4 linked regions of the Caenorhabditis elegans genome follow. The protein of the gene in region 1 interacts with the protein of each later gene in a pairwise test. Each region holds a gene or a part of one and is shown on either strand. Other genes may lie near its edges.

Region 1 (7,185 bases):
ATCATCTTCTCGATAAAGTTGCAAGTCCCTGAATGTTCATTTTATATTCATTTTAGTAAAATAAAACCTATTTACCATGGAACATTGAAGTGATCTTCTTCAGGGCTTAATAGAAAATTACCGTTTTCCAATTTTGATACATCTGTGAAAATGTGTGAAATCTCAAATTCCTTTTTAGCGGAATTCATTGTCCTGCTGAAATTATAGAGTTAGAAATATTTCAAACAAATTGGATAAAAAAGCAGTAAAGGAGTTTCTTAAAAAATCAATAAAAGGCAAACGAGTAGTCTTGGAGGAGAGAGAATGAGCTGAGAAATGGCTGAGCTGGTAGTCAGCTGGTAGTCGAATGTTATCGATCCGTAGTTGCAGATGACGCAGCGTCAATAAGTCTTCCCAAGAGTGAAGGAAGAACCTCTGGCCACAAAATTATGCGTTTCAGAAATACATAGAATTTCCCGATTTCCAAAAAAAAAGGGAGAAATGCAGTAGAAACTTAAGTAGGCACGTAGCCAAGTAGTCATGCGGTGTTCATGTAGGTATGCAGTAGGCATGTAGTAGGCATGCCAGCATGCAGTAGGCACGTAGGCATACATTAGGTATGTAGGCATACAATAGGCAAGTCAAACACATGGCAAAAAATTGAAATTCGATAACCTGAATTTTCCCTGATATTCGAATTTTTGAAATATATTTTTTCAAATTTACAGTCATTTTTCCGCAGAGAAAACTTGACAGCCCGAAGGAAATTTGCAGGAACTTCAAATTTAGCCTTAAAATTTTCAAACGATGTTTCACATCAAGTACTAAAGAAAAGTCAAGAAAAACCAAAAATGCCAAAACTCAGTGATTAACCTGTGATTTTTTTTTTGGAAATTTGGAGAAAGATTGTAACAATTATATGGAATATATGTACTTGAAAGTGGTAAAAAACAATTATTTTATTCAGAAATTAAATTTGAATGGTTATTTTAGAGCCACCGATTTTTCGAGAAGAGCCGCCAGCACTGTTGGCTCCATGTCAGATAGATTACCTGCCATTGCCGCCTTGATTTCATCAATCGTATTGATTTTTGCAAGACATAGTTTCTGAAAAATATTCAATTTAGATTTACACGATCCGTTGTGATCCTTACCTTCAAGTTCTCAAGTTGATATTGCTTTGCAATATTGAGTATATCTCGCTTGGGCCTTTCATATTTCTCAACCAGAAATTCCTCACATTTCCGAATCGCAAAAGGCATGTCTCTTACAGTCAGGACGATTTTGGAGATGAGCCAACATTTTTCAAAAATTCTTTCAAAACTAAATAGAGGACCAAAATGTACAATGCTTAGTCGAAATTTGAAGCGAAAATGTTGAATTTGGAGGATCTTATAAGCAAAAATCAATAATTTTAGAAAATTGCATGTAATTTTTCTGAAACTACAGATATCAATGTGTTTTAGAATGATTAATTATGTAAAAACCGTCTTACAATAATGGTTTTTTAATTTTTGTTTTGAAATCATTTGGCATCTTCGGAATATGGTAGCCAGCAGATATGTGTGACACATTTTTTCGACATATTTAAAACATCCCCTATTTCTCCTTGTTGAGTCGAAGTTTTGTTTTGAAAATTTATGTAGAAATATAGAGAAATATTTGTACTTTTTGGAAATTATTATACTTTTGCTCAAAAGTTTCAAAAAGTCGCTCAAAAATTGGTTCAAAGTCATCTCAGAAGAAGAAGTAGCATGGCAAGCCTTGAAAATGAAACAAACTTTTTTATGATACAATAAGTAAAGCATACAAATTTACATAACTTATGTGCTTCGTAAAATTACTAGTTAATGAAGAGCCACTGATTTTTCGAGAAGAGCCGCCACTACAGTTGGATCCATGTCAGATAGATCCCCTGCCATTGCTGATTTGATCTCAGTGATTGTATTGATTTTTGATAGGCACGATTTCTGAAAAAATTGTTTTATTGGAATTTAAAAGAATTTTAAAATCTTGATTCTAACCTTCAAATTATCCAGTTGATATTGCTTTGCAATTCTGAACTTATCTCTCCCGAGTTTCTCAGATTTATCGGATAGAAACTCCACACATTTCTCAATCACCACGGCCATCTTGTACATGTGAGCCAAGTGTAGAATTCCCTCAACGTTCTCGTCTAAAATTAACTTTTTTTCTAGAATAAAAACCTTTTTCTTTACCCTCAATAGCAGGTTCTCCGTACAGAACCTCTAGAAGACACTGAAAATCGGCAGCATTGATGTCGGTGAGCGCGATTTCAGCTTTTTCTGGTTCATCGAATTTTCCGAGAAATAGAGTTTTGAAGTATGATGAGTGAGTGGCGAGGAACTGAAACACACATTAAATGAATTTTTTGGCTAATTTTGAACAGTTCGGCACTAAAAGTGTGTCATGACGCATAACTTGTTGTGCCGGATTTCAGAGATTTCGGCGTTTTAGAACAGTGGTTAATTCGGCCAGATGTAGCCGAAAAGCCAAGTTAGGGCTGATCTCTAATATAACACTTTTTGGAAATTTCGAAGTTTCAATTTTAATCGGCAAAAGTCCTACGCATCCAATGAATATTCCTACATCTATTTTGAAAAGTAAGCAAGTTCTATGAAAATAACTAGAAAATAAGGGGGAAAATTTCATAAAAGCACAGTTTTAAGCGTTTCCGTCTTATAAAAAATCTCTCTAAAAACTCCCGGCAAATTCAGTTTTGGAAAACGGAAAATCGACAATTTGCCGGAAATGAAAATTCCCGGCAAACTGTCTAACCGGCAATTTGCCGATTTGCCGGAAGGCAATTGCCGCCCATCCCTGAAACATACCTTTTTGAGAACAAAGAACTTCTTGTCGTAAACCGCTAGAACCACATCAGAAAAGACGTCATCTGACTGCTCAAAGCTACTGAGCAGCTTCCTAGGAATCCCAGTCATCTTTCTGATCTTGACCTCTGCTTCAACAATGATACTATCATCAATGAGATAATCCTTGATCAATGTCTCCCAACTGAACTCCCATCCCCATTCATTCGAATTTGGCACAAATTTAGTCCTAGCCTTGTTCCTAAGACGTTTACCAATTGAATTCTTGACTGTTAGTCTATATTCGGTATCCACGGACCATGCGCCTTCTCCGATGTCTTTCAATCTCTGGCAACACAGATAAACTCCGATGTTTTCATTTTTCCGAGCAATTTTGATATTCCTGAACAAAAAATTGTATATTTATATTAACTTAGAAAAGACTTACCATCGAACATTGAAGTGTTCTTCTGCGGGACTATGAAAATATTTGCCTTTTTCCAATTCTGATACATTCTTGAATATATGAGTGAGTCCTATTTCCTTTACCATTCTGGGCGAAGTCTTGCTACTGAAATTGAAATATTAATTATAAAAAAAGTAGCAGTTCTCGCAATTTATTATTTTTCACAACTGATTATTACAACCCGCTATCCATTTTTCAAAACCTAATACACCAATAATAAAGTTACTTTTTTCAAAAAATCAATAGAAGCAAAAGAGTGAACAGCCATCCAGCTGACCACCGTGAAGACAAAATGAGAGAAAGGGGTGGTGAGAGACGGGGGAGACTGGGTGGTCTTGACCCCTGTCAACGACAAATATGTAGGCAGTGAATGGTCCCGAAAGGTGCCGTCTTACATCATTAGGGTCTTGATTGGAAATACAGTTTTCTACTACAGTCCGTCCAATTTCTATAGCTCACTTTTATCTGTAGAGTTTTTTACAATTTCACCAATATTTTGGAATTTATTGAATAAGTGAAAAATACAGTATAACCACAAAAAAAACAATTTCAAATTAATACGGTCGTCCATTTTTCGAAGGCGGTTCAATAGTCACCGATTTTTCGAGAAGAGCCGCCACTACAGTTGCATCCATGTCAGATAGATCCCCTGCCATTGCTGACTTGATGTCTTGGATTGTTTGGATTTTTGAGAGACATGATTTCTGAAAAAAAAAATGTATTAAAATAGTTTTTAAAAAATATATGAATTCTAACCTTCAAACTCTCCAGTTGGTATTGCTTTGCAATTTTGAACTTATCCCTCATGGGTTTTTCAGATTTGTTGGAAAGAAACTCTTCACAGTTCCGAATTACTTTTGTCATTTTGTACATGTGAGCCGAATGAAGAATCCCTTCAACGTTCTCGTCTGAAATATTAACAATAGTGTTATCTACTATATGGTTACTGTAGTTTCAGAAAAAAAATCAGTTTATAGATTTTGAGAATGAAGTGGGCTAGGATTACTGTAGGAGCATTGTAGTTATAGTTGACACAATTTTGAAAATGTTTGGAAATATTTTGGAAGTGTTTTGAATCTTACTGAGATGGAATTGTCCCCGTCCAGCCTAAGCCTTGGTCTCAGACTAAGCCTGAGCCTAAGCTAGTTGTCAATGCAAAATTAAATTCAAATACTAATATTTATTTAAACAAATAAACTTGATAGCTTCGTAATTTCCCCCCCCCCCCCCCCCCAATGTTTAAAATATTTTTCAGATTAAATTGTATTAAATTGTTTAAATTGCTATAGTTTTCTTACCATCCATAGCAGGCTCTCCGTACAGAACCTCCAGGAGACACTGAAAATCGGAGGGGTTGATATCTGGCAGGGTGATCTCCGATTTTCCTTCACAGTCCATTTCTTCAAAGTCCAGGGGAATAAGAGATTGAAAGTGTGTAGAGTTTGAAGCGAGGAGCTGAAAAGTACTCAAATAGTTGGAATATTCAGAGACTAGAGCTACCTGTTTGAGAACATAGAACTTTCTATCCCCAACGGCAATAATCATATCGGAATACTCCTCACTTGATTCATCAAAGCTTCTGAGCTCTTTTCTCGGAAATCCAGTCATCTTAGTGATCTTGATTTTTGCTTCGATAATGATACTGTCATCAATCAGGTAGTCCTTCAACAATGTCTCCCAACCAATAAACTTATTAAGTCCGAAATCACTTTCAGTACTCTTATTTGATAACAGACATTTAGCGATTTTCGTTACTCGTGTGCCAATTGAATTCTTGAGTGTAAACTTTAATTCCACATAAATTGACAGTGTTGTTTCTTCAGTTCCTTGTAAACTATTGCAACCCAGAAATACTGCCAATTCATCATCTTTCCGATTTATATAAAGTAACCTGAATACGACATTTGAAATTTATTAAATGTATCTTATAATTGGTGAAAACTAACCATTCAACATTGAAGTGTTCTTCTAGGGGTCCACATCTACATTCGCCATCTTTAAATTCGGATACTTTCTTAAAAATATGGGTGAGTTGGAATTCCTTTGCCATTCTTTTACAATGTAAGAATCAATAAAGAGAGTAGACAAATGGCCACCGTGAAGACAAAATGAGAGAAGGGGCAATGAGAGACGGGGGGAGACTGGGTGGTCTTGACCCCTAACGACAAATATATGAGTGGTCCCTAAAAGTCTTTCACAGGCAGTCCAATTTTTATAGCACCTCCTGAAAATCCCTGAACACTTAAAGATGGTGTAGTCGAATTTTTTTATTACCTCATTAGACTCAAAATTGTCTGAAAACACCGAATTTCATAATGAAACTTCTTGAAATCTTTTCAGAAAAAAGTTATGACGGCTCAAAAAATGACATAAAATTAGTTAAAATCGGAAATTTGACCAACTTGTCAGTGTCGGAGCGGCTGGAAACAATTTTTTTTGAAATCACCGTAAAATTTTAAGTATACAAGTTGATTATCTCGCGTTTTAAACTTCATTTAGGTATTTAAAAGTCGATGGACGGCGAGTTTTGGTTTAAAAAATTAAAAATCTCGCCGTCCATCGACTTTTAAATACCTTAATCAAGTTTAAAACGCACGGTAATCAACTTGTATACTTAAAATTTGACGGTGATTTCAAAAAAAATTGTTTCCAGCCGCTGCGACATTGATAAGTTGGTCAAATTTCCGATTTTAACTAATTTTAGGCTATTTTTTGAGCCGTTATAACTTTTTTTAAAGAAGTTTTCAAGAATTTTCATTATAAAATTCGGTGTTTTCAGACAATTTTGAGTCTAATAAGGCAGTAAAAAAATTCGACTACACCACCTTTAATTCCAAATTTTTAAAACAACCTTACCCGACTTTCAGCTAAAGTATTTTTCAGAACTATCAAAAAAGGTTTCAAATAAATATTAATTTTTAAAAGTCCATTTCGAGCATTTTGCAACAAAAAGTTTTAGACAATTTTATACAATTCTAGATGCAGATTTCTCTTTTGAAGTGGTGTCTCGACTCACTTCCGTCTTCCTACACAATGTCTCGACCCTCCACTGCCTCTCGATCTCTCAGTCGTTCCCTTTTTCTCTTCACTTCATTCTTCCTACTAGACGCCCTACTGAATGGGTGTCCCCCTCTTCTTTTTTATTGATTTTCGATTTATTTTCTAAATTTTCACTAATTCTTGCAATTTTTCCAGTATGATGAAGTGAGTTTGAGAGTTTTTGAGAATTTATGGAAATTTTAAAATTACAGATACTGAAGCCACTTCGAGCCCAGCCGAAAAAAGTTTCTCAGTCATTTGGATGAAATAGTGAAAAGAGCCGACTGAAAACATTTTTTTCAACCCGGAACCTATCATGCTTTGAGGACAAAGCAGCTTTTCAAAGGCGTCAAATGTCACAAGCTGATTTTTAAAATAATTTTTCGCCCGAATGAAGACTGGCCACAACATACAATTTGGAGCAACTTCAAAAGAATAGGAAAAGTTGCCGTCGCGGGAAAACAGCTGACTATAACAACTATTTCCAACAATAAGTAATCTCATTAATAACCCCAAAAACACAAAAAAAATCTGAAAAAGTAAAAAAAATTCAAAAAAAAAATTAAAATTTAAAAATTATTTCAAAAAAATCCTTATATTCATGATAACCAAATAACTTAATATTGATTTTCTTCACCCTTTCTCATAACCCTCACACTCTTATTGTCCTAATAGCCTAATATTTATTCTTAATCCTCAAATCCTAATCCTAATATTATCCCTAAACATTTGCATTACTCTCAAATTGTTCTCTCCTAATAACCTAATATTGATTTTTGTTAACCCTACACATTCTCATTAGCCACAAAATATCCTAATATCCAAAACCATAATATCTTATTATACTTCATCTTTATTCATTCATTTATTCTC
Region 2 (7,121 bases), on another chromosome or scaffold:
AATGACCAAATCAGCGTCCTTGACAGAATCGGAGACGTTGGTAGACATCTTGATACGGTCCAAAACTGAGCTGACAAGAGCTGTTTGAGCCTGTAAAATTATCTCAGCTCATTAATTTATTTGAAAAAATGAAGAAACCTTACCGCTGCGTCGTCGGCGTGCTTCTTCTTGGCAACTCTCTTCAAACTGTTGGCAATTCCTTGCTGAGCCTTTTCGAGAGCAGATTGATTGCTATCCACAACTGTCACGTTAAGCTTGGCGTTAGCAGACACTTGAGCAATTCCTGATCCCATGAGTCCGGCACCAATAATGGTCACATTATTAATTTTTGAAAGTTGGGCGGTGGTGGAGAGTCCACGAACGGCAGCGGTGCAAGTTGAACTGAGCATTCTGCAAAAAAAGTAAGTTAAGATGTTTTACGTTGCTAATTTAAAATTTCAACAATTAAGAAAGAAAACAACTCAAGAAAGAGTAGTAGAAAAAACCGATAGATATTGTTGTGGAATCGTCCGTCGGCCGCGTGTACACTCGGACACACCAAAACTACGCGCCGACCATCTGCGCATTGCTGATCTGCACACTCTCTCGCACCGTGTCTCATTGGACTTTGCTCGCTACATTCTATCCCAGAGAGAGGAGGAAAGAACGAAGGAATTGGGAAATAATAGGAGAAAAAGACAAAGAGTGGAAAATAAAAGAGTTTATTATCATTTGGGATTCGATTGAATGTTTGGGTTTGATAACAGTAGGGAAAAATAAGACGAAGCCAAAGTTTGAAAAAGGAAAACTGCAAGTATTGTATTAAAAACAGTGCCAATAAACACTCATTCAAAAATTATATTTTTTTGTTCGGTTATTTTTCTACAATCCGATAACTCCAAATTCTAATTTCAAGGTCGATACCAGCATAATTTGTTTTTTTTTGTTGTTAAACGCTGTTAGAATATGTGTTATCCAAGTGCTAAACTGTTGTTAACAATACAAATCAACTGGATTTCTGTTTGCTTTTCGTCAACGGCTATATTTTTTAAACGATTACATATTTAGTTCTTTTGATTAAACGAGATACTGTGCAAAGAAACTTTGAGAAAAATATATATATGTTCGAAAAACTTCATTTAGTTGTTTTCTAGAATAAATTCCGTACATATACAGTGCGCACAACTTCTATAGCACCCCTCTAATTTGGGAGTTTGAGGTTTTTCTGAATAATTTTCGAAAAAGTGTTCATGGAGTTTGCCAGCAAACGTTGAAAATCCTATGATGCCCAATGCTGATATCTCAACAATCATGGAAATGAGGCCACAAAGTTGAATAAACGACCGCCCAACTTCTATAGCACCCCTCAATTTTGTTCGACAATTTTTGTTAAAATATTTTCTTCTTCTTCTTTATTTATGAATTTATGAATTTATTTTGAAAATAAACTCAATCCAAAATGTTCAGAAGGTGTCATTTTAACATTAAAATAATAAAAGCGTGGAAAAAAAAACAAAAATAAGGGTTTCCATTTATTTTAATGTATTTAGGCAACCTTGTATTTACTTCAAATAAAATACATTTAGTAAGACGAGAAATGATGAATTATTGTTCATATTTTAGATGGTTTAACAAATTTCGCAGTGAGACGAGCAATAGTGTCCTCGTGGGAAAACATCCCATTCAAATGCACTTGCTCTTTTCGGTTGACAGTGAGCAGTTCGTCTTTGATTTGGGTGGTTCTCATCAGTTCTTTTGCTACTTTCATGGTCTTCAAAATAAAAAAAGGGATATGGTGAAAAGTTTTAACAAACTTACAATTGGAGAAAGCTTTGAGTAGCGGTCGATGATTTTCTTTGCATCTTTTTCAAATGTCGCAGCTGGTAAAATCTGAAATCACAGGACAATCTTTTAAGAAATGATTGCTTTAATATTCCTGTTATTAAAGTCACGACCCACTTTTCAGATATAGGATTTTATGTTATTGAAACAAAGCAATTTATATAAAAGTGGGTTGGGGACACGTCCCCGACCCGAAATTGGGTCGCGGGTCGACCCATCTCGACCCATTCATCACGCCTAAGCGAAAGAAGTTGGGCGACAGAAGCGGAACAAGTTTTGTTCATTTTTGATTTTTCCAAACGCAAACTTAATATATATTTGTAATAATTCAGCTCAGACTACTTTTTTACAGAACAAAATTCAATAATAGAACGCAAAGAATTTGCGCGTCACTTTTAACTTAAAATCATTTTCGAGCGAGTTTTAGCAGTCTTAACAACTTTTCCCAATTTTATAACCCAGTAAGTACTCAAATATGCGCTACACTTTTCATTATTTTTACTACATCCACTTCCACTTTAAAAGTTCCCATTATTTTTTCAAATTTGCATGTGAGTGTTGTCAATTAAAAATTTGTGGTCCTTTGGAAACTAGAAGTTTTCAAACACTTACTTGTGTAACCAATCCCGCAATATGAGCCTCGTGAGCGGTAAACTTTTCGCTGAACATCATCAGTGCGGCAGCTTTTTGATGACCCATAATTCTTGGGAGGGTGTAGCTGGAACACGCTTCTGGGCACACACCAATGTCTGCAAACGGAGTGGCAAACGTTGCCTGCAATGAAAATTGTGAAATGCGCAGTCTTGGAAAATTGGGGATATTTACACGTTATTGAGCATTCTTATATGAGAAAATCTATAGCAAGTACATATCTAACAAAATGTATTTTTTACTTTGTTTTTGATAAATATCAACCACCTGCATATATAACATAACACAACGTTCATTCCAATATATTAAGAAAATATTCTAGTTTGTAAGGTATATAATAATAATATTATTAAAAAACTGATTGTTTTTTCTTTAAAGTACTTTTTGCACATCAAGTTAGATGAATATTGTTTTTTCATAGTTACCAGCTAAGAAAACTCACAGTGTCAATGGCAATGACCGCATCCATCACACCCAGCATAGTCACAGATACTCCAACGGCATGTCCGTTTACCAAAGCAATTATTGGTTTTGGGAAAGCAATCAAGATGTCCACAAAAAGTTTGTATCCATGTTCTTGGATATCTCTGTAATTCTTGTTGAATGAAATAAAATGTCATGATTTAATAATCTCACGTCAATGTTGAAAGCTCAGCTGGAGAAAAATCGCTTCCAGCGCAGTAATACTTCCCTTTTCCTAAACACAAGTTTACGGTTAAACATGTTGATTGTTGACAACGTACCTCCTGTAAAAACAACAAATGCAATATCATCATCATCGGCAGCATCATTAAAAACTGTGCACAAATCAAGGAACATCTGTCTAGTGAGAGCATTAAATTTCTTTGGCCTGTTCAGGGTGACCCATAGAACATTATTTTTACGCTCAGTTAAAATAAGTCCACTTGTCATTGCTTCACTGAAACTCAATTTGAAACGTTAAATTTTGATAAGAATTCGATAAGAAGTTTAGTAAGTTTTTGATTCCAATATTAATCATTCAAAAATAAAAAGAGTGAATAATAGAATCAAAGTAAATGAAGAATTTGGCGGTCATTTATAAAACAGACTATAATGTGGCGTTGATTGTGGCTGGTTGCGACTGATAACAGTTGTATCGCCTTGTTTTTAGTTGAACTGTATCTGTAGTATGTAGTTTTATGTGTACCACATTAAATGCAATTCACCATAAAAATATTTTAATAATCATAGATATGGTAAACAGTGTTATAAATTTGATTAACGGCAAGGATAAAATAAAGTGAATGATTGAAATTTGTTTTAATGTTGTTTTCCAGTTTTCATTCAACAGTGTTTCTCAAATTTCTATGAACTGCGTCAGGCTATCTAGTTTTAGCGAACATAAGTTTAAATTTTGGGAAATATTAATAAATGCCTAGGATTTTTTATACAAAATGAGATAAATATGTATTTGAATATTGTTGTAAGTCAGTTTGAATTTGTCAAGTTGTGAAAAAAGTTTCTTTAAAAAGTTCAAACTATTCAAGGTTCTTGCGAAACAAAATTGATACTCGCGGCTATAAGATGTGATTATTCAATAAGAGTTTACCAACACAGGTTGTTAAAAACACAATATTAAACTCTTATTTTGAAATATTTCTACGTGATGCGTTGTAAACCTCTCGCTGTTCACAAGTTCCTTTGCTTTCAAGATGTAGGTGTTTTACTTTCTATCGATGTAGTTGAAAAAGAAGTAAACGTCGATATATTCGTTAATCCCATTAAAACCCATAAAAACCCCCATTAAAACCGCATTAAAAAAGTAATAATTGGTTCATTTCAGTTTGAAATTTAGAAAAAAAATTGAAGCACAGTTACAAATTTTCTTTAGTCGCAGCAACATATGAATAGTCTGAATGCAATTATCATTCTTCATTTCAGATTTTTGTGATTTTTTATACAATTTTACGATGATTTGATCAACCTCGGTTTTTGTGCAACAAACTTAATTTTAAAATGCAGTTCCACAATAGACAAAAACCATAATTTTTATTCCAACTTTGGATAAACTAAGGAACTAAGTTTTGCAATAATAATTTTTGATACTGCAGGCTTGTTTTATTTTCTAAACTTATTTTGAATGATTTGTAAAAACTTTATCATGTTTTAAAAATAAGAACATCTGAAATTGGAATTGAATAAAAATACAACTAACTTATAGGAAGACTTCTGATTATGAAACGAAAAATTCTACACAAGAAAGATAGCAGAGGGAGCAGAGCACAGGATCTTGTTCATTTTATTAATGAGCATTTAAAAGTGAAGGAAGTGGGAACATGGAGCAAAGGTAAGAAACATTTGGCAGGAGTATTTCTGTTTTAAAATGTAAGTAAACGTCTGGGAAAAATGAGCATTATGATTAGAAATGATGAAAATAAAAGAACGTTTGTTGTGTCATCATCAGAGAAAGTATCACATTGTATTTGGGGATTGTATAATCATAGATTATTTGGAAAAGACAAGGAGAAGCAGAATCTATGCAATAATAATTTTTCTGAAATTTGAAACCATTAACTAGAATAGCATGTTTTGCTGTATTAATTTAAAAATCTTAATTCTCAATTTTCAAAATTTGAGTTCGAATAAAAATGTTGATTAAAAAAGGATTTGTAGTTTGGAATTGAGGTATCACTAATCAATACAATTTAATGATTGCGTCCTTTATGTTTGGTCGGAGGTGGAACGGATCCATATGGGCTTGGAACACCCATTGGTCCGAAATGGCCTGGTGGTGGCAGGAAACGTTGCTGTCCTGGTTGCATTGGGTACATTTGTGGTGGAGCTACCCATCCTGGCGGAATGAATGGCGTTGCTGGTGTTGGAGACGGAGCCTCGCCGCGAAGGTATCTTGAGAGTTCTTTCTCGGTGTCGACGATCATGACAAGGAATGGACTACCTGGAACATGCTCTCCGTGCCATTTCACTTCGACCTGAAAATTATTATTGTTTTCAATTCTGTGGTTAACGGCCTTTATAAAAATGTGTTGTGACTCTACGAAATCATTGTTTAAGTGTTCACAAAAATAAATTAGTTTCAAAAACTGTATTTCACCCCTTCAAGTATTGTACTATGATATCTAATCTCACCTGATAATCCCCTGGTTCCTTTGGCTCATACTTGCAGTGAATCGTTCTTTCATTCTTCTTCTCTCTTTGCATTTCCACATTGAAGGCTCCCTTTGGTCCTCTGACACGAACAGTCAGTTGTCCAGCGCCAGCACCTCGGGTTTCCACGACGAAATTGGATTTGAAACTGTAAATAATACCATTCCTTCAAATAATTTATCTAAAATAACTTACAGAGAAAGAATTCCATGTTCAACTCCTGGCCCGTAGACGCGAACTTTTGACGGATCTGGTGGAAGAGACACGTGAACAACGAATGGACTTCCTTTTACGTGCTCATCGTCGTATTTGATAACCAATGTATGCTTTCCAATCTCAGCTGGCCTGACACAGAGGGCATAAGTTCCATCTCTGTGATCATACAGTTCACAGTAAGCGGGCTTATTCGGACCCATACATAAAGCTGAAAGTTGTCCGGATCCAGCACGACGAGTATCAATCAATGTCTTAATGTTCTCATTGATTATTCCAATTTTAAGAGTCGAAGCATCAACGTCAATAAGATCAGCCAAATGAGCAGATGTGTCTGCAGAAACAGCAAATGGTGATCCTTTAACGTGCTTTCCATTCCAAAGAATATGAAGTTCATAGGTGCCTCCAGTCAATGGAGTGTAAGTAGCTTTGTAGACATTATGTCCGAGTTGTTGAATTCTCACAGGAATGTCTGCTTTTGATCCTAGAAGTGTTGCTGTGATACGACCCTCCTTGTTGATATCACTTCCATCGATGATGAATTCATTGTGCTCCTTGAGAACAGCTCTGTGAAGACCATCTCCTCTCACCATTATTCTGCTAATTTCGTCATCGGCATTTGAACCAGACGACTTTTCGCTAAAAAAAGTCAGAGTATATCTTATTAAAATCATTCAATTTTTAGATTACCGTGTGTGATAAGTTGTTGTAACTGGTGGTGGGATGGGTTCTCTGACAGCGCGAGAAGTTGTCGGCAAGTCTTCGGCAGACGATCGGGCTCTCACTGGGAATGCGCTCTCAACTGGCAACTCGTTCCAGTACAAGTAAATCGAGTACCTGTAACAGAATTTGATTTGCGGTGTTGAACATACTTAGAAGTTCGAGAGAAATTATAAATAAAGATTCGTTTCGTAAAATTTTTGATAGATCAAATTTTGATTTGATAATTTACTCACTTTCCGGGTTGATCTGGATTAAATCGAACGCGGTATTTTCCCTGTCCCATGTCCTCGACAACCGGGCCATTGCCGATCAGCGAACTGTCGGCGTCTCGAACTTCCGCGCGAAGTTTGCCTGAAAAATTGTTATATTGATTATGATTATCTACGACACAATTTAAATACCGGGTCCGGCTGCCGTCGCGTCAACATCAAATGAGTTCGAGTGACCAAGTCTGAGGAGAAGAGTTCCATCGCGATCCATGTCTAGGTCGTTAACAATGACCTTGGTTGGGTCGACAACATTCACGGTGAATGGGCTTCCGGTGATTGGACGGTTATTGAAGTCAATGCTGACATTGTAAGTTCCAG
Region 3 (7,921 bases), on another chromosome or scaffold:
AAGCAATCAAAATGGTTTTTGCATTTATGGTTGGTTTTTTTCAGTCAATCTGCGAAAATTAAAATTATTATCTGAGAATATGGACGTGGATAATTTGTCGGTAGGCATCAGATAGGCACAACGCAGGCATAGCCAAAAACATATTTGTAACGTTACTAAATGCCACTCAATTTTAATAAAATGGGCTCTGAAAGAGGGAAAAATGTACGGCCTGTTTTAAAAAAAAAACAAAGGTTCGCATTTTGGAAATTTTGGTCCAAAGCTGAATTTCTGTTAGGGACATGTTTCTAAATATTTTTCGCATGGTATAAAGTCCAAAATTGAACAGAAACAATTTTCTGGTTATCTCCATTTTTTTTAAATAACCAATTTATTACAGTTTCACACTGGATATTTTTATTTTTAAAAAAAACTGTGACTCTCCAGTGCCCTTTTATTTTCCGCAAACTGTTCTCTGTTCTATCATTTTCATGAAAACATGGCTTTCCAGTATTAACCATCCACCTCAAGATCGTAGACATCGATCCAATGTCGGCGGCAATCTGTTCCAGATCTGACGGCGTCTCTCGTCATTTTTTTATTTTTCAAGGTCTTCGCCTAATTTATCTCGACTCACTGTTCCGCGTTCCAGTGTATCGGTACCAGTACTTTTTTTTTAAATTTTCCTCAGACCAAATAGATCAGTTTTCTGAATAGTTTTTTTTTCTATATTAACATGTTTCACGTAGTCTGTATTGTTTCAGACTGTAGTAAGCTATAATTCGTAAAATTTTTATATTGAAAAATAAATAAGTTTGATGAATGATAGATACCAGCATTTGATAAGCTTCTAGGACAGGGACAAAATTTTAAAACTTGAAATTTGGCCTAACATCCTTTGAATTTGCAAACCGGTATAAGAGAATTTTAGATTTTTTTTTGAGATAGTTTTGAGAATTTCCTAGGTTTCAACTTTTGGGATATTTTGAATCTATTGTTGCAAAACAATGCTGATCCATTATTGCTTTTTTAGTATGTTTTATATAGTCGGTATTATTTGAGATTGTAGAAAAAATCTATAATTTCTTCTTTGTCATTAGGATTAGGCAAAAATACATTGGTCTACATCACAATGAGAGCGAAACAATACAAAATTGAATAACCTAATCAATAGTTTGAAACAGTTGTTTTTTGTTTTCCAATGGAAGGTTTTGGATAACCCTCGAATTAAAAAAACTCTCATTAGAATCAAATTTAAAATGAATACACTTAAAGCAGTCAGAAACCTGTAGGCTCCAATCAAAACCATTAAAACTCCCTAAAAATTGTTAAGATGCTATTTTAAGTTTCCAACCAATGCAAAGATTGAATATGTATGACAACATTGTTCTTGAAAATATGGAAAAAATTTGGTTTCTGGGCACTTTTAAAATTATTGAAACGTTGAGGAAAAACATTGCAAACTTTTTTTGATGTCCTAATGTGATTTGAGCTCCTTCAATGTAAATTTATAAGATTTCACTATAATTGCCGCTGAAACTATATTTTATATGTTTCAAGTGGTGTATAATATTAGAAAATGCTACCATAAACAATACGATCACTGGTTTATTTGTAAACTGATTGAAAAAAGTATAAATTTTGTAACAGACAAAAAGCATGGAAAATTATGAAAAAAAACGTTAAAACCCTTTATAACACAAAAAAATAGGCACCGAATCGTAGAGATTCCGGAATAGCTGAAATTGTCCGTTGTGACTCAGTTTTGCAGCCCTTATTCTGAGTGTGATGCGATACTTGCCAGTTTTAAATAATGAAATAATTCCATATAAAAATTCGCAAAAGTGATATCAAATTTTATTTTAATATTTTCAAAGTAAAAGTTATTCATAAAAGTGTTAGTTTTTCAATTAACAAAAAAAACTGAGCTCTCCATCTTCCGATCTCCTATTCCCAAAAACCATTTCTATCCATCTTCCCCTCCCATTGTTTTCCATTAATTTTGATTCTTTTAACAGATTAATAAACTTCCAGTCATTCAGCTTCCCTTCATCTCATTCTCCGATTCCTTAGATCATTATCATGATCAGCACCGGCCGTCTTGTGTCCAACCGTACCACTCGTCCCTCTCTCTCTCATTTCACAGTTTCCCTCGGGTTTTTCAAATATTGTGTTCAGATGGACATTCTTCTTCTGACTTTAAAATTTTTACTGCTTACGCGTCCGAAGAAAAAAGGAAATTAAAAAGCATCAAAGTAACAGCGTCAAAAACTTGGTTCAATATTTACCTTGAAACTGGAAAATTGATTGTTCCGATTTCTTGGCGGTGCTCTCTTCAACTTTTGTTGATTTCTTTGATCGCTCATTGCTCATGAATCAATCAGGTTAGGTACACAAAATGAATGAGCACTGAAACATTATTATTTCCATCTCGTCATTCGATTTTTCACAGTTTTATATTTTCGGTTCACAGTTCATCAAAACGGATATAGCTTTAGAGAAACATATTTTTTCACTAAAAATTAAAAAATTAAAATCGATGTTTATATTTTTTTATTTCAGAAACAGCTTTTTTTAATTACTGTTTCACAACCACATAAATAATTTTGAAATTTTTCACATCCCAATCTTCATGTTTTTCGGTTTCTAAAATTGTACAACATATAAAATTGTACAACATGCCTGTTAGAAATTTTGATCAAAACTCCCCAAAAAAACATTTTGTGAGACATTTATTAAACTGCGATTTTAACAAAGCAACTTGAATACTAGCAGAAAAATAGGATTATCTCTGAAAAAATTTCCAGCTGTTTTCAATCATATCAATCTTATCGGTTATCGATTCATTTTACGCCCTTCATCCATTTTCGCTTGATTTTTTTTTTGAAAAAAAGTTACTGTTTCAGAAGTCCAATAATTAATTTGATATTTCTCTTTATCCTATTCTTCACTTTTTCTAAAGGTTATGCATCTTTAAATGTATACTCTTGTTTGAGTTTGTGTGCTCTCTTATCATCATGATTATCATCTCTTCTCCTCCTCGTTTTAACCACTTTTTTTGCATATGACTATACCTCATTTTTTCCAGGTATCTATCTCAAATTTCCCATTTTCAAAACGACGTCTTCACTTGTTATGGAACTATTTCGATCGCCGCCACAAACGGCAATGTTTCCTACAACAGCTTCTAGTTCTTTTGTCTCAGCGGCTCTTCATCAACAACAATCATCTCCATCATCAAATCTTCCAGTAATCCCTTCACCAACTGATATGATTACTGTAACATCAACATCACCAATTCCAATCACAACTTCTGCATCACCACCGAATCTTCCAATGTTCTTAAGCTTTCCGAGCACATCAACGACGACAAGTATCCTTATGGATACTGTATTAGCTGCTCAAAAACTGAATCAACAGCAGAATCAGCAAGCATTCAATTTTATGGTTGTGAAGCAGGAAAATGGAGAAACTGGAAGAAATTTTATGACAATGAAGCAAGATGCTCTGCAAGCAATCACTAATACAGTTTCAAGGAATTCACCGCCAAATGTTATTAAGGTGTGTTTATTTTTTAATTAAAAACTTGGTATTTGAAATAAGAAAGCCCAGTCATTTTCTTGAAGTAATGAGTTTTAAACCTACATTTTTTACTGATTCGTAAAGCAGTAAATTTTTGTTCATATCAGCAAGATTTAATAAGTGTTTTTTAATTCTTGTAAGAATGCCTATTGAAATTTTGAATGAGAAATCCTAGCAAATTCATGAAAAAACATCAACAGCTTACCAAAATGCTCGGTTTAAAGCGAACGATAAAACAAAATGTTTTGTTAGTTTTTTTAATTTTTTATTTTGTTTTCATTTATTTCTACTGTTTCATGAAATAGTGAATTGGAAATACTCAATTTTTGTACGCCTGTACATACGCCTACAAAATGTGTTTTTTTCTGTAATTTGAAATTTCGCCATGAAATTTCGTATTTTCCTGACATGTAACCAAACGAGTAAGAAAAATCTTGAAATTTCCGAGTCTGCAAAATTCGGCAATTCCACATGTTCAAGGTTTTCTGAATATCTCGCTGCATGAAAGAAAAATCAGCAATTAACATTTTTCAACTTTTATACTGTTTGTAAAACATTAGATTTTTATTGTTGTGAAAAACTGTTTGGAATTTGATATGTTTTTTTACTGTTTCATAGCCACAATGAAATAGTCAATTTTAGTATTTATTTGCTGACTAACCACGATTCCTCAAAAAATATCAAATTTTCCGAATTTTTACAACCACTGTTTCAATGTTCAATTGTGTTACTTCGCTCTCTCCGATACAATTCCATAACATTTTATCATCATAAACGGCCGTGCAACACAGTAAAAATGGAATGATTTAACGCTCTCTCTCTTCCAAAAGGTTGAAAAGAATGAAAGAGCAGTGACGTACTGAATTTCAAATTCCACTATTTTCTGTCTGCATAAATGATCGATTTTTGTTTGGGGCGAATTCAGATACGGATTCCTGAAGGATCTCCCGTTTTAGGTGCAATGTAATCTAAAAGATCTTCGTGTTTACATGAAGCCTTGTCCCTAATTTCTGGAAAAAATGCCAAAATTTTCAAGATATTTGTACTTGATCATTGTCTTGTGCTCTCTCATTGTGCGCTTCTCCTCGCCAGCTGAATCAACAAATAATATTAATTTCTACATTACAAATTCGACATTAATTTTGACAATTTGAATGACTGTTTTATCTATCACCGCTCAATTTTGTGATCATCTCTTTATGATCAGTATCAATAAAACAAAGTGCCAACCGGAAATATGTGACAGTTCAGTTTCGCGGGTTAGTTCACGTGGTTTTCACGGTTTCGTTGAGTTGTATTTGCACATTGGTACATGAAAGAACATTCCGGAATGCGAAAAAAAGATTGAATGAATGAGTAAGGGGGTCTAGAATAAGTCGATGCCAGGAAACAGTAAAATTTTCAAATTGGTAGTTTAAGAACAAAAGTATAAGCGAATCTTATTTTAAAATCTGTTTTCCTTTTTTACAACAATATTTACTAAAATATTTATAGCTGTTAATAACTCGAAATTAACAATTTCCATAATAAACCATATCTGAAACAGTAGATTTTGTGTACCTCAATAACATTTATTTTTGGAATAGCCAACAGCCTTGCAAATAATTGTTTTTCTTCAATACCCTAACAAAAATAAAAATAATTGAAAAATGTTGAAATAGAAACATGCTTTAGCCTGCTTTAAAATTTATTTCACGATGTGTACCAAATTTTTATAATTTTACAGAATATCACAGTAACTTGTAATAGCAGAAAATTTGTGAAATGTGACTATTACTAAGTTTCCCACTATAGCCGTTCTGTTTGAAATCTGGCAATTTGTTCTTACTTTGACTGAAATTTCTGAAAATTCCAGATTGTTCTGGACTTTTAAAATATGATGCGTGTTCATGTGAAGGTATTATAAATGTATTTATACAAAATGCCTGTTGACGTGACTCCAAATTTAACTAAAAATATCTACTGCACCAAAAAAAATCCAAAAATTTTTCACAAAACTAATCTTATATTAGAAAAACTAAATATAAAACAACCAATATATATATTACAACAGGTCACTGTCTTTTTTAAACATTAAATTAATTTTAAAACGTAGTCTAAATTAGTTCTCTGAAAGTTCAATAGTTCATAAAGTTTCCCTCTATCTTCAATTTCCTTTCTGAAATAGCTTCCTTTTCCCTCAGGGGGTTTAGATGTGGAAATAATCCTTTTCTAAATGTAATGTAGTCCTGACATTAATTATGCCCATTTCCTCTATTCATCCATGAAAAATCTCGTCCCTCGTTCTCCTCTTGTTATGTTTCGAGTGTTGCTAATTTCTCGCCGATTCGGTCGCAATTTTTGAGCGCGGAGGAATTGACCCAATTTACACTAGCTTCATGTTGTTGGGCGAAAAACCGGAAAATGGTTCAGCTGTTGGAAATGCAGAAAATTTGAGGAAATACATTAGATCAAAACACACAGGTTGATAAGGTATTGTTGATCTATTGATGGAAAGAAGAAATCATAAAATTAGAACAGAGATATCGCAATCTCTATGATCTCGCAGAAACGTTTGTGATAATTTTTATAATATTTATATAGTTTTAGACCTTTTTATTTGAATTGTTCCAGTTTTTAATTTAAAAAAACCGTGCATTTGTACAGTTTAAGTTACATTATTCGAAACACTTGGAATTCGAAAAAAAAATCCCGTTTCAAATAGGTGTTTTATTTTCGTTTAAAATTTTGTCTGCGATTTTGTCTTTTTACAAAGTTTATTTCCAAAAAAACAACAATCTTACGTCACGTGCAAAATGAATAGAAATTTGATTAGGTGTGTATAGAAATAATGCAATTCTTAGTTTCCCTAGAGGACAGCTGAAAGTGTGCGATCTCAGTGAACTCGTGTAGTGATAAAAAAATGACACGTGTTTCCTGAATCAAAAACATTCGGGATCAAAAGGATCCATTTATATACTGATAAAACACACACCCAGAGAAACAGCATCACAGTTCATTGTCTGAATCTCTCAGTTTACCACACTATTTCACTCTCCTCTAACTCTTGTGCAAAATGAAATACGCAACAAAATGTAAACTTTAGGGGCGATTCTCTCACACTCTCCGCACTCTCTTAAGAGTGCCCACATTTTCTCGCATTTCTCTGTCGGTCTCTTCATAACATGTACTCTCTTCCAGGTTTCTAGATTTGTCTGCGTCCCAGTATCTCGCTCGCATGCCTGCACTTCTTCGATACCCGCCTTACTCTCCTCTTTCGCTCTCTCGATCATTTTTCGGTCTTCGTATCAAAGGATCGCAAGCACTTTTCAACTTTCCATCTTATGATTCTACTTGGAATTCTTAAACCATGTGTTTTGACCATCCTCTTCTCGTTTCTAGCGTTTTCCGTGAAAACCTTCGAGTTTCCTTGAAAATTTTGCCAATTTTCGGTACATTCTAGTTTAGATAAGGAGCCCCTAGATGGGAGGAAGAATTGCATGGAATCAAAATGATACGAGTGATATTTTGTACGATTTTCGAAATGCTATTCGAACCTGAAACACTTTGTAAATCCAAAATTTTATATCAGAATTTAGTGAAACAGAAAAAAATCGTTCATTTCTAAAGTTCAAATTGCTTCCAATCCTCTTTGTGTCTTCAACCACTGCATGTGGTTGAACAAAAAATGTGTTTTGTTGATCAACGCCGCACACACAGAGTCTCAGAGTGCACGCAACCCATGCTATTTTTTGCAAATATATTTTTTGGGAAGAAAATGTCGCATTGAAACCTTTTGAAACCTATCCCTCTCTCCGCCACGTGTTTTGCTCGCAGAGCTCCTTCTGTGTCTCGAATGTGTGCATTGTGGTATGTGTAGTCTCAGTTTGCTCAGACCGCTCTCAGTCCCTCACAAAAGAGAAAATGAAGACAAATAATATCTATCTATCTCTCTCTGACATTCTCCAATATCTCTTCCTCTCTATTTCTCCGTATCTCTCCACAAAACCGTTGTGCATTCAAAAAGACACTCGCAGAGCAATGTTAAAAGGAAATGTTTCATGTCATGTATAAACTAAACATGTATATATATACATAAGAAGTGATGGCGCGCGAGCGGTGTGAGAATGAACTCGGATATTATTGTATAAGGGGGGGGGGGGGGATTTAGATGATCAAAGAAGTTCAAATATATGGACAAAGGGTGAAAGGGTAAAGACCACACACGCGCGCGCCCCTGAAAAAGTCCAGAAAATAGAGAAAGTTTTGGGTCGCCTAAACTACATACACAAACGCCTCAGATGTTGCAAAGGGCCCGCGCGCACCCGCGTCACATCCTTGAGTATGAAAGCGTGAGAAAATAGTGTAGGAAGACGCCCTT
Region 4 (7,949 bases), on another chromosome or scaffold:
AAAAACTGTGAAAATAATTGAGAGATATAGAGAAACCACAATAAACTCTGGGAAAAAAGAACCGACGAGAAGAACAATTTTGCCAACACTATATTTAGATCATGTGATATATAGAAAGAGCAAGATGAACTATGATAAAAATTGCAGCTTTATTAAAGTAATTTTAGATGGCGTCCAACTGCTATGCGTTTTTGTTTTAAATATCTATACCCACCTAATAATTTTAAGAATTATCTATTTATTCACATTTTCGAAAATTGTGTTGTTCAACATCAAATTATTCATTTAGTTTTGACAAAAAACAATACAAAGCACACAATTTATATACTTTCCAAATCAATCATCAAACTATAATACTACTTGAGAATATAAGAACATAGAAAAACAAGAATTTCTTATTTTCGGTTTGGGAAACCCCTTTTAGATTTTAATTTCCAAAAAATTGCAGGAATTGTCGTGCCTTAATGATTCTTGGTGTTTTTGTGTCACCCGCCAAACAAACACCTAACAATTCCGCTCCTTCCAGATTTTCAAGAGATGGCAACACGTGTCGTAGAGGTTTTGACACGAGTGACTTTGTTTTTGAGGTTAAGTAGAGGTGACAGTGGTGGTCCTGACGGATCAGGTAACTGAAAATTGTTGATGTTTAGGAGAAATGTTTAGGCGAAACATAATTGGTGAGTGCAGTGAAACGTGATACACGAGTAGACTCTATTTATCAAAGTTGTTGATTTACTAACAGAAATTAAGGTAATCAAAAATCTAAAATCACAATTTTTGATTGCAAGGTGTGAATGAAAAACTACAGAAAGTTACAGTGACCATTTAAAGTGATAAAAAAATAAATGAAAAATGCTTGCATCTAGCAGTAAAGGTGGTCTCAAACTTCCAATGTTGTTACTTTTTCAGCATTAAAAAGAATAGAAAAAGTCATAGAGAAGTTTAGAAAAATAGACATTGCAAAACTCAGAAACCCACATATGGCAGCAATTGTTAATTTTTAGGTTATAATTAATTTTGCATTTTTAGATTTTTAGATTTTCCCTACTTTGCATGTATCCGGGAGTTTTTTAACCTTTTGACTCGCTGAAACCAAACTTAAACATCACTTTTAAAGAATTCAAAATATTCTCTGTGGATGAGCGTAAAACGTTTTTCTACATATCAAAATTTTTTCTACTATCCTTTAGATTTTTTACTGATACCACTTTTCTTTGGTAATACAAAAATGCAAATTCTCTAGGATTAGTTTGGGGTGAGAGTATTTCAAAGTAAGTTAATTTTTTGAACAATTAAAACAGTGGGTGTGAATGAGTTAAGGACAGATTTGGGACAAAATTTGGAGTAAGCACAAAAAATTAATCTGAAACAAAACTACTCAAGCATTATATGAAGTTGAATTGTGCGGAGATGTTCCATTAGAGTATGTTTTTGCCGAACACTCGCTGAATAATCTTTTCATTCGAAAACTAACATTAACGGTGTTTTCTGGAATTTTCTTGATGCCGTCTTCTGTCAACAATTCGTTGTCAACGACGAGTGTTCCTGTTTCTAATTGTTTGATCTTCCAACTACGCGTATGTAAATGAGACAAGGCCACAACGTGACACTATATTAATAATCAGGTTGATCCTCAAAGATTGTTGGTGGTTCTCTGCGTCTCCACATTCTATACTTCTTCTAGATAAGGTCACGTGTAGTGATCGGATAGTGAATGGGGAATCCCCCGTACTGGGGAATACCCTTGTTTCTTCTCTTCTCTCATCGTATCTCGTTTCTCACGTCACTCGAACATAATGTCCTGTTATCAAGATAGAAAGTCCAGAATAATAAGAGTAAATAGGGGTTTGGAAGTAGGAAGAAGTGAAGATCAAACCATCATAAGGTGAACCATGGTGCACTGCGGATAGCATTGGAAGCAACAGTAAACAACAGGAAAGAGTTGCGCGCAATCAAAAACGCCCAATAAGAAAATTGAAGAAAAAAACAAATTTTCACTGTTCTAGTGTGAACATGCCACACTCGATACCTACTTAACAAACTGCTCCTTGATATTTTGCAACTAAAAAATCAGAATTATTTTTCAGCCAAAGGGTACGTATAGACTGATAAATTGATTTGAACTTGAACTTATACCAATAATTCTGACAACATACTGCGAAAACACTTTTTAACCATGGAAATATTGTAACCGGAAAACAACACGAGATAAACTTAAGGTCAACCCAAAAATATTTCAAAAAATAGTTGACTCTTCCACCCAACCAACTTTTATCCCTGTTTACACTTGGTTTTCATGTTTTGGTTTCGGAAGCGACAAGTTATTTGATTGGACCTCTTCCTTGTCTACTCATGAAAGCCGTTGATGTCAGAGATGAGATTGTGCAAAAAGATAAAGACGAGTTAATGGCTCATATGGCACCATGAGTAGGTCTGGTAGGAACAAGAAGTGAAAAAAAAAACAGCACGAGAACATCGCTACGTCGGCTACAAAGAACGGTTCACGAAAGATATTAAACTGATCTTTGACTAAATTTCTACAATCTGAAATGTCTCATTTTGTATATAGTGCTCATTCCGTGTACCCATAAGAAGTTTGATAATTTTCATCACTGGTAAAAATTATACGTTGTGTGTTTACTTTATTGGAAATGCGTAGTACAGATTTATCGGAGTTTGCTTAAATTGCCGGACACTTTTTTAAAGACTTCTTAATTGTAAGAAGAAATCATTTAAATATTTAAGAACAAATGACAACACTTGCATTTCAAGCATACAATTTAATGAGCATGAGCCATGAAGAACTTTTTAGATCTGATTAAAAAGATCAGGTTTCAGAACCAGTAATGGAGCAACAAACGTGTATGATTAACCATCAAAAGTATATTTAAAACGTTACTTTTAAACTGTCCGAGAATATCTCACTTTGGGTTTTCTAAATCAGAAAAAAAAACAAATAACTCACAGCCAAAAATTAATAGAAGCTATTCATGTCTAGGAGCGATGTCATTACATTTCAACATCTCTGTACTATAGAACGAGAATTCGACTTCCCGCAATCCATCATTCATTGTAAGTATTGAAAACCTCAGTTATTTTTTTCAAGACAAGATGTACCCAAATGCCTCCCCCTTCACAAGTTTTTTTGAGATTTCAGTTCTCTTCTAGTTCCGCCAAACTTTGGATTTCAAGAACTTTTTTCTTCGAAAACAAGGTAACAGACACACCGACGCCATGTTTTTATCTGATTTTAAGTATTTAGTAATGGGAGATGTCTGTTTTTAAGCCAATTTATCATTTTTCAGTATGTTTTTGTTCCAGGCCGACATAATGGTTCGCCTCTCACAGGGAAACAAGCAAGACCCCGGCGGGTGGCAGGAAAACGCTAGAGACTACGCGAGAGAAAGAGGCAGCAGACAAGGCCCGGCCGATTGCGTTTGATTATGTTCTTGCATCAGGTTGCCGCCGTCGGCCCGCCTCACGGCCCGCCCATTTTTCGACGGCCAAGAGGCCTTTAAAAAGGACGGTCCGTTGCTCCAAAACTATCATCACTCACACTTTATTTTGTGTTCAGTGCTGCCTACCCGTTTCCCTCTTGGATTCCTCAACGAATAACTCTCACCATGTGCGGCGTATTCTCAATTTGCCAACAAACATGCAAAAACAAGCCAAAGTACGACCTAGATGAGGCTCGCAAGTTGTCCAGGTAAGAGTTGTAAGGTACATGTATAGACAAACTGTTTCAAATTTTAGAAGACAACACCATCGTGGACCGGACTTCAGTGGATGCTACCAAGACACGAAGACTGGAGATATACTAGTCCACGAGCGTCTAGCCATTATGGATCTAGGTGTTGTTCAACCACTTCAAGGAACAGCCCCAAACCGTCAGGTACAAATATTCCATAATTGTTTTTCTTTTTCAAGCTATATGAGTATATCGATGTGCATTATGTTCCGCTATTAGTACACTTCTCTAATGTTAAATTAGTAAACCGTATTTCACGTGATTTCCCATTAGTAGTCAAAGTACAATTAGTTCTTATCGCTTGTTATCATTAGTGTATCACTTCTCCTCCTCCTAAGATAAGCGAAAAGTGTAACACAACACACGCCGTGTTCTTTGTGCTGATATTAATGACCCCCAGACACACCTTAGCACCTAGGCACAAAGATTTTTGTTGCACATTGGTTATTTCAGGTTATACACAACGGTGAAATCTACAACCATCAAGAACTCCGTGACACCGAGCTGAAGAAATACAATTTGAAAACCCATTGCGATTCAGAGGTACTTAACAGTTAGAAATAACTTCACACAAGATACAATTTGTTTCAGGTTATTATTTTCTTGTACGAGAAATACCGTGACGGACACATCTGCAACCTTCTTGATGGAGTTTTTGCATTTGTTCTTTGTTGCGATGGAGATTTCCTTGCTGCTCGTGACCCACTTGGCGTAAAACAAATGTACTACGGAATTGATGACGATGGAAGATACTTCTTCAGGTAAAAATTAACAATGAAAGGATTATTTCTTAACATTTAATATTACAGTAACGAGATGAAGTGCTTGGAAGATAGTTGCGGAGATAACAAAATAGAATCGTTCCCACCCGGGCACTACTACACTCCTAAAACGGGATTCGTTCGCTATTTCAACCCAGAATGGTTCGACTTCAGAAAAGCGATCCATCCATTGGACCTCAAACTTCTCCAAAAAACCATGATAGCTTCAGTCCACAAGAGATTAATGTCCGATGCACCAATTGGAGTTTTGCTCTCGGGAGGACTTGATTCCAGTCTGGTCTCTTCAATTGCTTCAAGAGAAATGAAAAGGAGAGGAATGGCCGTTCACTCGTTCTCCATTGGTGTCGATCACAACTCCCCAGATGTTGTGGCTGCTAGAAAAGTTGCAAAGTTTATTGGAACTACTCATCATGAGTTCTATTTCAGCATTGAGGTATGTGTTTCTTCAATTCGAAATAACAAAATTCACAAATATGTTTTAAGGAAGGTATCAAGAACCTGCGTAAGCTTATTTGGCATCTTGAGTCTTATGATGTCACATCCATTCGTGCTTCTACTCCAATGTACTTCCTCTCCGAAGAAATCAGGAAATTGGGAATCAAAGTTGTTCTTTCTGGAGAAGGAGCTGATGAAATCTTCGGTGGATATCTCTACTTCCACAATGCCCCATCCGATGAGGACTTTCAAAAGGAAACCATCGATCGTGTTCTTCATCTCTACACATCTGATTGTCTTCGTGCTGACAAGTCTTCGATGGCTCACTCAGTCGAAGTTCGTGTTCCATTCCTGGATAAAGCATTTGTTGAGGCTGCAGTCAGTTTGGACCCTGCATTTAAGCGCCCACAAAAACTTGAAGATGGGAGAAACTGCGAGAAGTTTGTTCTCCGATCAGCTTTCAACACGGACCAATACCCATATCTGCCTGATGAGATTTTGTGGAGACAAAAAGAACAGTTCTCCGACGGAGTTGGATACAGCTGGATTGACACTCTCATGAAGTACTGTGCTGCTAAAATTACCGACAAGGAATTCTCTCAAGCCTCTAAGCTTTTCCCACACAATACTCCACACAGTAAGGAAGCATTCTACATGAGAAAGATCTTCCACGAGCAGTTCCCATCTGAGCAAGCGGCTCTCACTGTCAGAAAATGGATTCCAAAATGGCAAAAGAACCAAGATCCATCAGGTTTGTTGAACAATATATAGTCTTTCTATATAAACATTACCTTTTAGGAAGAGCATCATTGGTCCATGAGAACTCTGCTCACAACATTGGAGACGAATTCTGCAACAACAAATCTGCAATCAGTCAACATCACATTGAACAATGCCGACCACAAGCATAATAACTGAGCTCTTCATGTCATGACACAGCACATTCCTTATTTCATATCCCCATTTTTAAACTTTCTATCGCTTTATGGGAGGAGACCATGATTAATCATTTCGATGTATTTTTCAAAAATACCTTTTAGTTACGCTTTTTCTGGGCTTTTAACCTGAATAAATAAATGTGCATTGGAAATCTGCTACAAAGTTTTACTACAAAGTTTCTAAAAGACATTTCAAAAAAAGTTACTTTGAAGAGATTTATGAATTTTCAAAGTTTGGAAAATCCATCTATTTTTGCCTATAAATGGCAGTTTTCATTGAATAATAAAATACGCACTAAAAGGTAGGGCTGAAAATGTACTATTTCTGTAACTACGTGAAGCTTCTTGTACCTACTGGAATATTGTTGGTAAATTCTAAAAGAACTTAAAATTTACTACAAAGTTTCTGAAAGACATTTCAAAAAAAAATTACTTTGAAGAGATTTATGAATTTTCAAAGTTTGGAAAATCCCTCTACTTTTTGCGTATAAATGGTAGTTTTCATTGAATAATAAAATACGCACTAAAAGGTAGGGCTGAAAATGTACTATTTTTGTAACTACGTGAAGCTTCTTGTACCTACTGGAATATTGTTGGTATATTCTAAAAGAGCTTAAAATTTACTACAAAATTTCTGAAAGACATTTCAAAAAAAGTTACTTTGAAGAGATTTATGAATTTTCAAAGTTTGGAAAATCCATCTATTTTGCCTATAAATGGTAGTTTTTATTGAATAATAAAATACGCACTAAAAGGTAGGGCTGAAAATGTACTATTTCTGTAACTACGTGAAGCTTCTTGTACCTACTGGAATATTGTTGGTAAATGCTAAAAGAGCTTAAAATTTACTACAAAGTTTCTGAAAGACATTTCAAAAAAAGTTACTTTGAAGAGATTTATGAATTTTCAAAGTTTGGAAAATCCATCTATTTTTGCCCATAAATGGTAGTTTTCATTGAATAATAAAATACGCACTAAAAGGTAGGGCTGAAAATGTACTATTTCTGTAACTACGTGAAGCTTCTTGTACCTACTGGAATATTGTTGGTAAATTCTAAAAGAGCTTAAAATTTACTACAAAATTTCTGAAAGACATTTCAAAAAAAGTTACTTTGAAGAGATTTATGAATTTTCAAAGTTTGGAAAATCCATCTATTTTGCCTATAATGGTAGTTTTTATTGAATAATAAAATACGCACTAAAAGGTAGGGCTGAAAATGTACTATTTCTGTAACTACGTGAAGCTTCTTGTACCTACTGGAATATTGTTGGTAAATGCTAAAAGAGCTTAAAATTTACTACAATGTTTCTGAAAGACATTTCAAAAAAAGTTACTTTGAAGAGATTTATGAATTTTCAAAATTTGGAAAATCCATCTATTTTTGACTATAAATGGTAGTTTTCATTAAATAATAAAATACGCACTAAAAGGTAGGGCTGAAAATGTACTATTTCTGTAACTACGTGAAGCTTCTTGTACCTACTGGAATATTGTTGGTAAATTCTAAAAGAGCTTAAAATTTACTACAAAGTTTCTGAAAGACATTTCAAAAAAAATTACTTTGAAGAGATTTATGAATTTTCAAAGTTTGGAAAATCCATCTATTTTTGCCTATAAATGGTAGTTTTCATTGAATAATAAAATACGCACTAAAAGGTAGGGCTGAAAATGTACTATTTCTGTATCTACGTGAAGCTTCTTGTACCTACTGGAATATTGTTGGGCTTTTAACCTGAATAAATATTGTGCATTGGAAATCTGTGGGGTAGTTAAAAAACATAAAAGTTTACTTACACAATCAAGTTCTTACACAATCAAAAGTAGGGAAGGACGGCACTTGCCGTTTAGTAAATTATTGGTTTTCTTAATTGACAAAAATAGAAAAAATGACAGACTATCGCATTTACCGGAAAAATTAAACGGCATCTGTATTAGAGTACCTAATTTTTATAATTTAAAAAAAAATTTCAATTTTTAAATGTGTGTTCTAGAAAACCTACAACTTGTTGCTAAACATTACTAAACATTTATTCACAATCAGTTCA

The links.
Region 2: the proteins of bath-9 (region 1) and B0272.4 interact in a two-hybrid assay, tested with the Caenorhabditis elegans proteins (one large-scale study listed by BioGRID).
Region 3: the proteins of bath-9 (region 1) and nhr-46 interact in a two-hybrid assay, tested with the Caenorhabditis elegans proteins (one large-scale study listed by BioGRID).
Region 4: the proteins of bath-9 (region 1) and asns-2 interact in a two-hybrid assay, tested with the Caenorhabditis elegans proteins (one large-scale study listed by BioGRID).

What each region holds. Positions count from the first base shown.
Region 1 is NC_003280.10:3,373,291-3,380,475, reverse strand, and holds bath-9 (BTB domain-containing protein), read right to left. Parts: upstream 3,388-7,185; 5' UTR 3,360-3,387; coding exon 3,256-3,359; intron 3,211-3,255; coding exon 2,832-3,210; intron 2,347-2,831; coding exon 2,199-2,346; intron 2,156-2,198; coding exon 2,004-2,155; intron 1,950-2,003; coding exon 1,827-1,949; 3' UTR 1,642-1,826; downstream 1-1,641. Other genes in the region: Y49F6C.2 (BTB domain-containing protein), read right to left, coding at 964-1,086, 1,134-1,416, 1,475-1,515; bath-10 (BTB and MATH domain containing), read right to left, coding at 3,828-3,977, 4,030-4,181, 4,572-4,728, 4,774-5,164, 5,220-5,323.
Region 2 is NC_003284.9:9,424,701-9,431,821, reverse strand, and holds B0272.4 (enoyl-CoA hydratase/isomerase family protein), read right to left. Parts: upstream 3,392-7,121; 5' UTR 3,385-3,391; coding exon 3,216-3,384; intron 3,170-3,215; coding exon 3,109-3,169; intron 3,060-3,108; coding exon 2,915-3,059; intron 2,596-2,914; coding exon 2,434-2,595; intron 1,870-2,433; coding exon 1,798-1,869; intron 1,751-1,797; coding exon 1,592-1,750; 3' UTR 1,398-1,591; downstream 1-1,397. Other genes in the region: putative 3-hydroxyacyl-CoA dehydrogenase B0272.3, read right to left, coding at 1-90, 144-389; fln-2 (Calponin-homology (CH) domain-containing protein), read right to left, coding at 5,139-5,423, 5,581-5,746, 5,794-6,450, 6,502-6,648, 6,768-6,885, 6,936-7,121.
Region 3 is NC_003282.8:5,753,009-5,760,929, reverse strand, and holds the start of nhr-46 (Nuclear Hormone Receptor family), read left to right. Parts: upstream 1-3,067; 5' UTR 3,068-3,114; coding exon 3,115-3,540; intron 3,541-3,583; exon of another isoform or gene 3,584-3,604; intron 3,605-4,052; exon of another isoform or gene 4,053-4,073; intron 4,074-4,214; exon of another isoform or gene 4,215-4,238; intron 4,239-4,885; exon of another isoform or gene 4,886-4,909; intron 4,910-5,040; exon of another isoform or gene 5,041-5,061; intron 5,062-5,244; exon of another isoform or gene 5,245-5,265; intron 5,266-7,081; exon of another isoform or gene 7,082-7,102; intron 7,103-7,921.
Region 4 is NC_003284.9:8,746,537-8,754,485, reverse strand, and holds asns-2 (Asparagine synthetase [glutamine-hydrolyzing]), read left to right. Parts: upstream 1-3,544; 5' UTR 3,545-3,623; coding exon 3,624-3,706; intron 3,707-3,753; coding exon 3,754-3,892; intron 3,893-4,201; coding exon 4,202-4,291; intron 4,292-4,339; coding exon 4,340-4,509; intron 4,510-4,557; coding exon 4,558-4,963; intron 4,964-5,013; coding exon 5,014-5,716; intron 5,717-5,763; coding exon 5,764-5,876; 3' UTR 5,877-6,052; downstream 6,053-7,949.